Saccharomyces cerevisiae S288C: one gene and its partner. Changing the gene in region 1 together with any one later gene gives a genetic interaction. Each region holds a gene or a part of one and is shown on either strand. Other genes may lie near its edges.

Region 1 (7,247 bases):
ATTCAGAAAAAGGAACAGTTAGAACACAAATTGAAGCAAAAGGATTTGCAAATGGCCGAGTTGGTTAAGGACCGTGACAGGGCAAGGTTAGAATTAGAAAGATCCATTAATAATGCAGAGGCGGACAGTGCAGCGGCGACAGCAGCAGCAGAAACAATGACTCAGGATAAAATGAACCCTATTCTGGATGCCATATTGGAAAGCGGTATCAACACCATCCAGGAATCGGTCTATAATCTCGATTCTCCTTTGAGTTGGTCGGGTCCGCTGACTCCACCCACTTTCCTTTTGTCCTTATTGGAAAGTACTTCTGAAAACGCCACTGAGTTTGCCACCAGTTTCAATAATTTGATAGTAGACGGCCTTGCACACGGCGACCAAACAGAGGTCATACACTGCGTTAGTGATTTCAGTACTTCGATGGCTACACTGGTGACCAATTCAAAGGCGTACGCCGTTACTACATTACCTCAAGAACAGTCTGATCAAATTTTGACCCTGGTGAAGAGATGTGCCAGAGAGGCCCAATATTTCTTCGAGGATTTGATGTCTGAAAATCTTAACCAGGTCGGTGATGAGGAGAAAACTGATATCGTCATCAATGCCAACGTGGACATGCAAGAGAAGTTGCAAGAGCTATCTTTGGCTATCGAACCGTTATTGAACATACAATCTGTCAAATCAAATAAAGAAACGAACCCACATTCTGAATTGGTTGCCACTGCTGACAAAATTGTCAAATCCTCAGAACACTTACGTGTTGACGTTCCTAAACCATTGTTGTCATTGGCATTAATGATTATTGATGCTGTTGTGGCTTTGGTAAAGGCTGCTATTCAGTGCCAAAATGAAATTGCCACCACGACAAGTATTCCTCTGAACCAATTCTACTTGAAAAACAGCAGATGGACAGAAGGTTTGATCTCCGCGGCAAAGGCTGTGGCAGGTGCAACCAATGTTTTAATCACTACTGCTAGTAAGTTAATCACTTCTGAAGACAATGAAAACACATCACCTGAACAATTTATCGTCGCCTCCAAAGAAGTGGCCGCATCCACAATACAATTGGTAGCAGCATCGAGAGTGAAAACTTCCATCCACTCGAAGGCCCAAGATAAATTGGAACACTGTTCCAAAGATGTTACCGATGCATGCAGAAGTTTGGGTAACCACGTCATGGGTATGATTGAAGATGATCATTCGACTTCGCAACAGCAGCAACCATTGGACTTCACATCCGAACACACATTGAAGACTGCCGAAATGGAACAGCAAGTGGAAATTTTGAAGTTAGAACAATCCTTGAGCAATGCCAGGAAGAGATTGGGCGAGATAAGAAGGCATGCCTACTATAACCAGGATGATGATTGATCATGAATTGTACTTTTTATATATAAAGATAAACGTTAATATAAATATATTTATTTGAAGACGTCTTTTACGTTTTTCTGTATCTGATTGGTATATGCGTTCTCGTCCGGGGACATTTTTTCTTTTTTTGGTGCGGCGAATGGAAATAATCGCGATAATGAATATGCAAGGAACAAAGAACAGACACCCCACCCTTATTATCATATCACATCTCTGTAGGAGTCTACCATTTTGCTTCTATTGTAATCTTTGCGACTTTATTTCAACTCACCATTCATACAAAATTTCTACTGCCGTTTAAAATAAGGAAAGCATAAAGATTAAAGCAAATTAAGAGGAACCCTTTTTTTTTTTGATTTCGATACAATGGCATTTTGGTTACCTCAAAATATACAAAAGCGGCTGCTTCTTTACGTCCTTCAGCAAATTTCGCTGTTCTCCAATATAGATTTATCTAACTTGGACGTTTCTATAGGGTCTAAGTCACATTTCTCGTTCCATGATGTGAATCTGTCACTTGATGATCTCAACATTCCAAACGTGCAAATAAACGAAGGCATAGTTGACGAGCTTGTGTTAAAATTAACAGTTTCTGGCGGTGTGGAAATCGATGGGTCTGGTTTAAGATTTATCATGACACCTTTATATTCCAGTGGCTCACAGGAACTTCACTCAGATTTTTTGGTTAAAAGCATCCAAGATCTTACGAATTCGATGTTACAATTTAGTGATCCATTGACCACATATAATAGGTACAAAGAAGATGACATTAGCTCTTCAGACAGTAGTAGTGATCTCAACTCTAATATAGAAGCTTCAAAACCAGCCGCAAATGGTTCTTATACTCTTCAAAATATGCGGAACAAGGCCCTTAATGTAGCCTTAGCGAAATTGAAAATAGCATTAAAGGACGTTACCATACGTTTCATAGTGAATGATAGAGATCCTTCCGATAACATTGTGGAGGTTCATCTAGAAAGCATACAACTTATTACTACAGACGCAAATTTACGACATATAAACATTGAAAATATCACCATTTCCTCAATACAAAAACAAGCTGTACCCGACTCTCCTGTGCATCCTTTCAATAATGACGATCTGTCACAAAGCGTTTATTTATCAAAAATGGAGGCTACTTCACTTTATATGAGCGCCATGGAAGAGCAATCAAATGAAGACCCCAGTGAACCCCAAGTTACACAAGAAGAACAAGAGAATGATAAGTGCAAGGAATCTTTAATGGAAATAAATAATTTGAACATAGCTTTTAAGGGTTTATCATCGGTCAATGATCTCAGAATGTCTAATATTGTTATTGATATTCAGGATGTTCATTTAGCGATACACAAAATTGTCGAAATCAAAAACTCCACTTTGAAGAATATTATAGATATCATTGTTACACATTTGGATGCCAATGAAAGCTTTTCTTGCCAGGATTCCCAAAGTCCTTCACCTGACAAGCAGGAACCATCAGCTCTTTCTTCTGTTGATATCAAATGTATATACTTAAACTTAGGCCAAGATATCACAGTAATTTTGAAGAGCTTTAAATTAGAGCAAAAGGAAAATAATTCATTGGCATTTTCTTTAGGCTCATTTTATTCTAATTCGAGTCCATTGACAATTAGCCATAAAACTAAGCCATTGCTCACTGGAGAACAAACCCCTCAAAGCATCGCATTAAATATGGGCGACGAACTAGATATTATTATCAGTCATGATGGCATTGCGCATTTCTTTAAAATCTTTCAGTTTGTTTCAAAATGTATGTCCTTTTATCAGAATAAGTCAAAAGGGATGATGCCTCAAATAGCATCGGATACTAAAAGGACCGTACAACTTACCTCAAAAGCAGTGAAGTTGTCGCTTAAGTTTCCATATTTTTTATTATGTTTCCAGGTTTCACCCTTCATTTACGACTCTAACCGTGAGTTGTACATTGAGCTTGTAGACGTATTTAAAAAACTACCTTCTCGGTGCACGAAAATATTGACAATGTCGAGCATTACGATCTCGAACTTGCAATCCCCTCTACAACTGGGTTCATATGACGATACTTTGAAAGAAGCGCTAATTTATAGTTCTGTCCATGCAATCATCAAAGAAGTGATATTTAACGAAGAATATTCTGGAATAGTACAATTAGTCGAAGATATTTCTGCGTTTGGAAAACTTTTCACGGATTCAAAGAACAGTGAATGTACAGGAAAGTCTAAAAGCAAGAGAGGCTCCTTTTTGCAGAGAAGTGTCAGAGTACTTAATTCTTCCAGGTTCGTTTACAAGCAGAGTTTATCCGCTAATTTTTCTCTCAAGATAGATTCCATGAAGTTAAAAGTATCAGAAATTATAGGGCCGCAATTTGGTTCTGTGGAAGCATTACTATCAAATAATTTCTTTGCGATTACGGATGACTCTCAAATTGTATATTTTACAAAGAACTTAAAGGTAGAAAGAAAGACACCGTCATTATTAGAGCCACAAGAAATCATGTCAGTAGTTTTGAATAAAGCAGTTAACGAACCTGTACTATATGTTCATAGAAGGGCGAATGGAAAGTTAAAAGTCATTTTTAACAACATTCGCATACATTACTATGCAAGGTGGTTAGAAATACTAAAGAAAAACATCGGCCCGGATAATGCCAGTTCAAAAGATGAACCTGTTTCACAAAAGCTTAGTAAAAAACAACCGACTTCAGGATTTCCCTGGGAACTCAAATGTCTGGACTGCTCTCTAATTCTGCACCCTTTCAGATTAAAAAGTGTAATGGTCATTGTACTTGACAATCTAACAACTGGTGGAAGTTCATTTATTCCGCAGGCAAAGCTTCTTTCAAAGGCGAATACACTCTTCCTAATAGATGACTATCAGAATTTCAAAATTCAAAAAGATAAGAACTGGCCTAGTTTGATAAATTTTTATGCTGGTCAAGGTTTCTCTGCAATCGGTAAAATAGATACTTTGAATTTTTTAATAAACAAATCCGATGGTGCCCTTTTATTGGATTGTAAAATAGAACAAGTTGGTCTTTCATTATGCGCGGATTCTTTTCAAACTTTTTGTCAGCTTTGTATTGATTTAAAATATCCTCAGACGTTTCCTGATGAGGAAAAATTTAGAACGCAGTTGAAAAATCCTATCGATGTATTCAAAGACATCGATTGTGATCTTTTCAATTCTGCCTTCATCCGGGAGAACAATCATCAAAATGATTACGACTCAGTGCATTTGGTAGACAGTTTTCTCGACAAAACTCACGAGTTCAACAATGGTGCCAGAAGTAAACTATCCTCTCAAGGTTCATATGAAATGGACAGTTCCTCTGGAACTGCCACAGGTGGTATTTTACTTCCCCATGAGAGTTATCTAGACTCTGCTCAGCCAAAAGAAGAAGATACTCCACCAATCGCCTCAAAAGAGCAAGAAAGGGATGTGGATATAAGGGGTAGTATAGATGTCGAAAAAGTTGTTATAAAACTATTCGATGGGTATGATTGGAAATATACGCGGAAATTTATCGCTAATACTGTTGAAAAACTGGATAAAGAGCTCAGTAAAGCGGAAGCAAGCAGTTCGAAATCAAATGTACCCCAATCAGAGGCAAATATTTTTGACTCTATTTATATATCTGCTAACAAAAACAATGTCACAGATTTGAGAAGAAATCTTGATGGTGAGATCCAGGGGGTTCAGAATTCCTTCTCTGATGTCTCTAAAGTTAATTTGCGACCTTCTAAGCATTACAAAGCCCTGATTCAATTGAACAAAGTACATGTCAATTTGAAGAATTATCGAGTAGATGAACCCGATGAGTCTAACTCTGATAATTCCACAGATGTTTTGAACCGATGTGTAGTTTCCATTTACGAATTTGAAATTATCGATAATGTTCCCACGTCCACCTGGAATAAATTTGTAACTTTGCTAAAGCACGAACCGTGGCCACACAGTTCTCCGATGTTTCTTCTGGACCTGGAATTTATCCGGCCGATCGACTTTTTGCAAGCAGTGGAATTAGTCATGCAATTAAATGTTGCGCCTTTACGCCTTCACGTGGATCAAGACACTTTAGAGTTTCTAATAAGGTTCTTAGGGTTCAAAGATAAAAGATTTGAATTAATTGATGAGTATCCAGATATTGTATTTATTCAAAAATTTAGCACTAATTCAATTAAGTTAAGATTAGATTATAAGCCGAAAAAAGTTGATTATGCGGGTTTAAGATCGGGCCAAACTTCTGAATTGATGAATTTTTTTACCCTTGATGGATCCAAGATTATTTTGAAAAGCGTAGTCCTGTATGGATTAAATGGATTCGATGAATTAAATAATAAACTGAAAGCCATTTGGACGCCGGATATTACCAAAAAGCAGCTGCCTGGCGTTTTGGAAGGACTGGCTCCTGTCAGATCGTTTATGGCGATTGGGTCAGGGGTGAAGACCCTAGTCACAGTACTAATGTCAGAATACAGGCAAGAAGGGCATTTGGGAAGGAGTCTGAAAAAGGGTGGCAATGTCTTCTTGAAAACGACAACGGGAGATTTTGTGAAATTGGGAGTTAAATTAACTTCAGGGACACAGGCGATATTGGAGAACACCGAGGAACTATTCGGTGGTGTTGGTTCCAATGGCAGGGTGTACGATGCATCGAAATTTGGCTCCGCTGATGGTGCAGACAGTGATACTGCAGCTGTATTAGACTTGGATACTTTATTCGAGGAGGATCAGTTAGTTGGTAGTAAATATTCCAGGATAAGAGATCATGAGCCCACGGCAGTAGTCATCGATATGTCTTCACCGGGAGATCACAACGAACCCACAATAGTGAGTCTGTACGCAGATCAGCCCCTCGACCTGCCCACGGGTTTGAAGGAGGCGTATAGTTCATTAGAAAAGCATATGCATATTGCGTACGATGCGGTATGGAGGGCAAAGGGACAGATGAAGGATGATAAACGGGGAGGGCCGAGCGCCGCAGCAGTTTATGTTGCTAGAGCTGCACCTGTGGCAATTATTCGGCCGTTAATTGGGGCCACTGAGGCAGTGTCTAAGACTTTACAGGGAATAGCTAATCAAGTGGATAAGACGCATAACGAGCAAATCAATGATAAGTACAAGTCCAATCGGACTGATTCGTAAAAATTTTTGCAGACATTTTTGATATATATTCAATTCATATTTTATCTCTTTTTTTTTTTTTTTTTTCAGACGTGGAATGGTGGGAAAGCCAAAATGTCACTGACCGCGGCTAAAAGTTAAAAAATACATGAGACGACATTCTTTTATGTATATATATTTACACATGTATACAAACAAATACACACGCAAGTAGAGAGGAGTTGGTGGGGGGAAGATGCCATTATAGAGGAGAAAAGAACAAAGAGAGTGAGCTTGCAAGATAAAATCACTCGAAAAAAAAAATTTCAGTGACTTAGCCGATAAATGAATGTGCTTGCATTTTTCTAATTATCCTTCGTATCTTCTGGCTTAGTCACGGGCCAAGCGTAAGGGTGCTTTTCGGGCATAACATACTTGTGTTTTTGCATATATTCCTTCAATCCCTTTGGACCTCTTGATCCGTAGGGGTAAATTTCCGGTGTTGGACCGTCCGGACGCTCTATGTGCTTCAGTAATGGGGTGAATATGCCCCAACTGATATCCAATTCGTCATCTCTGACAAAGTTGGAATGGTCACCCAGTAGGGCGTCTCTTATCAACACCTCGTAAGCCTCTGGAATCCAAAAGTCTTGGTACCTGCTTGCGTAAGTTAGATTCAGATCTGTGACTTGGGTAGCATTTGACAGACCAGGGGTCTTAGCATTAAACTTTAGGTACACAGCGGCATCGGGCTGCACTCTGATGACCAGTTC
Region 2 (4,121 bases), on another chromosome or scaffold:
GTAAAAGTTTTCGTCATCAAATTTGGGCCCATAGACGGTGAAAGGACCCACATCTGGGGCAACCACACCACCCTGGATATACTTGTTAGGGTAAACCTTGTTGATTTTGGTCTTACGGTACGAGTAAGTATGTATATCATTGGGATCTTTCCCTTCGATAACTGCCTTAACACCATGGGCCAGCATAGCAAAGTTGTTCACAGTTTTGGGCACGACAGTACCGTACAACTCAAAAGTCAGATCCGCCTCTTTCATCGACTTCGAAACGGGATCAAAGTATTCGATAGTGATTATTCCACGATGTGTGGCGGGGGGACTGGGCTCATATTTTTTCTGAAGATCAACATCCTTGGAGGTAATCTGCTTCCCTGATGAAGGTGCAGCGTGGACTTGGCAGAGTACTAAGGAGTACAGGCAGAGCAGCAAGGATTTCAACCACATGTTGTTGCTGAACTTATTCGAAAGTCTATCTATTTTCTTCGGTCTTCCAATCTACGAGTGTGTGAGTTTGCTAGAGAGCAATTGAAGCAAAGAATATGTGACCTATTAATTGCACCTGACTGACGCCTTTCACTTTAAAGCAGTATTAATATATCTTCTCGTGTCGTTTAGCTGAACCTTTAAGTTGTCAAAATGATACATTATTTATCAGACAATGGAAGAAAAAAAGGGCGCATAGGCCCTAAAACAACACTAGGGTCATAATAGATGTATGGGTCTTACAACTCGTATTTGGTGCAGAAGCCAAGCCAATTGCGGCCTACACAGGTAGATGAAGAGGTAGTAGTAGCAGTGGTGCGAGTCGTCGTGGTTGGTGCAGCGTGGCTTTTAGTCTTGGTAATGAGCCTCGATGAGGATTCCCAGTCTCTGCTTGGAATAAACTTCCAGTTGTAGCAATCTACGCAGGGCTCTGGTTCAACGCACTTGGCAGCCTGCTCGTATCCAAGGAGAACTTCGTCAATGACTTTGTGGATTCTGTGGTTGAACATGTTTACACTCCAGCCCTTGTCGTTGACCACATCGTAGACACAGACTCTACCAGTGTGGCACGCGGTTTCCATAGCGTAGCCCACCAGTGAGCAACTTGAACTAGCTCCGTTGCATGTACCCATGAAGATTGGGTCTGCGTTGTGACCGAAGTGCCAGATACCCTCCATGTATGAGGGAAGTCCCGGTGGGAATGGTAAGTGAAGTCTTTTTGAAGGTAGTAGCTCTCCAGGGGACTCGAATGCGACCGCAGGCAATCCAAAAGTGCGGCCCAGTAAACTGGCCAATGCGCCTCCCAGTGAGTGGCCTGTGACCCATATGGCCGCATCGGGGTATTCTTTGAGGACGCCTTTGTATATGTCAACGACTGCAGAGTAAAATCTATCCTTACGTCTCAGTTCCTTTTCCAGGCAAGACTCATCGCATATATACGACTTCACATAGCAATCGCACACGGTAGTCCACAGGTAGCTCACTCTTGCACAACAACACGAAAATAACAAATTATCGTTGATCTTGTCGTTTCCAGTTGTCTCATCTTCGCCAGACCCTGGCAAACCCTGAGCGCTGGTTCCCTTTATCGAGAGTACCACGATATTCTCCACTTCATTGTAAAAGACGTGACCACGTATACCATCACCATCCCAACCAAAATCTTCCGGCTCTGTTTCATTCCACGGCTCCGTGACGTTACGCCAGTCTCCCGTTTGCGGTATTCTCACGTAAGCATTAGACGACATTAATGCTAACGACACTACTGTACCTCTATCTGTGATATTGGGTGCCACAATGTCATCATCTATCCACATGGCGTGTTCTTCCTCCTCCGTCATGTATGTTTCTCCGTAAATGTACGACTCTATGAATTCAGGATCTCTTTCCTTCATCCGCTTCATCAATAGCGGCATCCTTCGTAGCTCAAACTCAAAATCGAATGGGTTAGTGGTGGCATATTCGGCATTAGTAGTCCATAGGGGTTCTTGGTCTTCGAAATCCTGTCCTTGAGTTGTGGTTTCTTGATACAGCATTCCAGCGGCAGAAATAACTTCTGGAGTGACCTCCAGCCTCTGGTGTAGCCGATGGTTTGCTCCGACGCCATGCCTGTAGATAGACTTAAGTCTAAAGGTTCCATCAGATTTTTGATCCATGGCACCCCTGGATGAGCTCTTCCCTACCGATAAATAATCCGGTAAAGCAAAGTAGTAAGCAATAAGGCAGAGCACTGTAAGCGTTAGAATGCATCCTAGATGCAAAGGAGAAGCAAATCTCTTTCTTGAAGGGCTTTTATGCAACATTCAATAGAATATTTCCCTTGTTTCCTTTAATTGTAATGCCTAGATCAGTTCTCAATCACGATAACAATTTTCTGAGCAGCGGCGTACTTTCTTTGACTTATCCAAAAGGTTGACACTGATTTGAGTGTCTCAAAAGCCTTTAAATGATAGAAACAAGGCTTTTAGGCTAGTCTTATGTAATAGAGAAAGTTCATCTATATCTACAGATTCTTATTATGTACTGTTGAACAAAGGTGCGGGTAACTGCGATCACACAATCACTTTTTTCCGGAAACGGCTGTCTTCAGCGAACAACAATATAGTAGAGATACTGTATTCAACTGGAAATGCTTTCCCTTTTGCCCTATCATTATTTTCTTTCCGATGTTATGCTTATTATATCTGTGATTGATAAGAGAAAAAAAAAAAAGTGACAGCTATAGAGAAAAAAAAAAACCCTTAGAGAATCCTACCTGGAATATATTTAATGAGCAAGTCTATCTGCTGCACATTGGTCACGACACATGTTAGTGTATATGGCCCAGCCTATGTATTTACGATTTAAATCACCTTGATAATTATTAAACGATATCCAGTTTATTTCGTATTATGTTACATCTGTCAAGCCCTTACTTAGCAATTTTGAGCCCTAGTATTTTTGACCACATTTGTAACTGCCCTATTTTATTATCCTTTTAGCCCTCCTGTCCTTTTTTCTTGGTTGTAGTAATTTTCATTTATATCTCGAGAATTGTACAGTGTAAATGAGAACTGTGAACGCTTCAAGTAACCTACGCTTATAGCTGCTTCGATCGACGGAGGCTGTTTGTCAACAAGCATCACAATTCCCTACGATACGTCCTCTCTTCCTTTTTTTTCTCTCCTTTTAAACTTAGAAAAACTAGCATAATAATGAGTGGCAACTCTGCAAACTATGACGTCGGATATCCGATATATGGTGCTAAATTTATAAATGAAGGCACTCTACTGGTGGCTGGTGGTGGAGGCCAGTTCAATTCCTCGTTTCCAAACAAAATTACAGCTTTAAAGGTGAACTTCCAGAAAAAGAAACACATTAGAAGGTTTCGTGAGATCACATTAGATTCGATTGACGATGCGCCCACTTCATTGGATTGTAATAATAACCTGATTCTAGTTGGTTGCAATGAACTGTTTAATGATTCCTCCATGGAGAACGTTAACCACCACTTGAGGAAGTTTGTGTTTGAACAAGAACATCTAAAATTCGTGGCCAGTATTGATTTCAACAGAACTACAGACCCATCCGTTTTCACTAAGTTTGTTTACATTAATCAAAGGGCCACAGTAGCTGCAATTGCGTCCTCTGAAGTGCCCACTGTGATAAGAATCATTGACCCGCGTAATTTGACGGAAAATTACGAAATTGAAACGGGTAGGGAAGTTAATGATTTGCACTTCGCCCCTAACGGTATTCTTTTGTCATATATCACTTCTAATTCTTTGGAAGTAGCGTCTGTTAGGGACGGAAATTTTGTAGCAAGGAAAACGGATTTTGATAAAAATCTTGTTCTTTCTAATATCAGGTTTCTCAATGACAATACGCTATTAGTGGCAGCATCATTATCGAACTCTGATGGAGTTTCCTTGTTAAAACTAGGTGTGAGTTCCAAAGGTGTTAAAATTTTAAAAACAGCATCCTTCATGTTCGATTTGAATGGAATAACATCGATGGATGTCTCCCCAAATAAGAAGTTCGTTGCATTATCATCTAACGATAACTTGGTTGCCATCGTCAGCGTTGAAAAGCTAAAGCTTGTTCAGTTGGTTCCAAGAGTACATGAATCTACTATAACAAAAGTTACTTTTTCTCCAGATTCT

What was found. A genetic interaction does not mean that the proteins touch.
Region 2: of ATG2 (region 1) and ATG15, changing one suppresses a phenotype caused by changing the other (phenotypic suppression), as found in Saccharomyces cerevisiae (one study listed by BioGRID).

The regions. Positions count from the first base shown.
Region 1 is NC_001146.8:189,587-196,833, forward strand, and holds ATG2 (Atg2p), read left to right. Parts: upstream 1-1,737; coding exon 1,738-6,516; downstream 6,517-7,247. Other genes in the region: SLA2 (Sla2p), read left to right, coding at 1-1,371; ZWF1 (glucose-6-phosphate dehydrogenase), read right to left, coding at 6,840-7,247. UniProt on the Saccharomyces cerevisiae protein: Lipid transfer protein required for autophagosome completion and peroxisome degradation. Tethers the edge of the isolation membrane (IM) to the endoplasmic reticulum (ER) and mediates direct lipid transfer from ER to IM for IM expansion.
Region 2 is NC_001135.5:235,375-239,495, reverse strand, and holds ATG15 (triglyceride lipase ATG15), read right to left. Parts: upstream 2,283-4,121; coding exon 720-2,282; downstream 1-719. Other genes in the region: peptidylprolyl isomerase family protein CPR4, read right to left, coding at 1-441; GTPase-activating protein SED4, read left to right, coding at 3,174-4,121. UniProt on the Saccharomyces cerevisiae protein: Lipase which is essential for lysis of subvacuolar cytoplasm to vacuole targeted bodies and intravacuolar autophagic bodies. Involved in the lysis of intravacuolar multivesicular body (MVB) vesicles.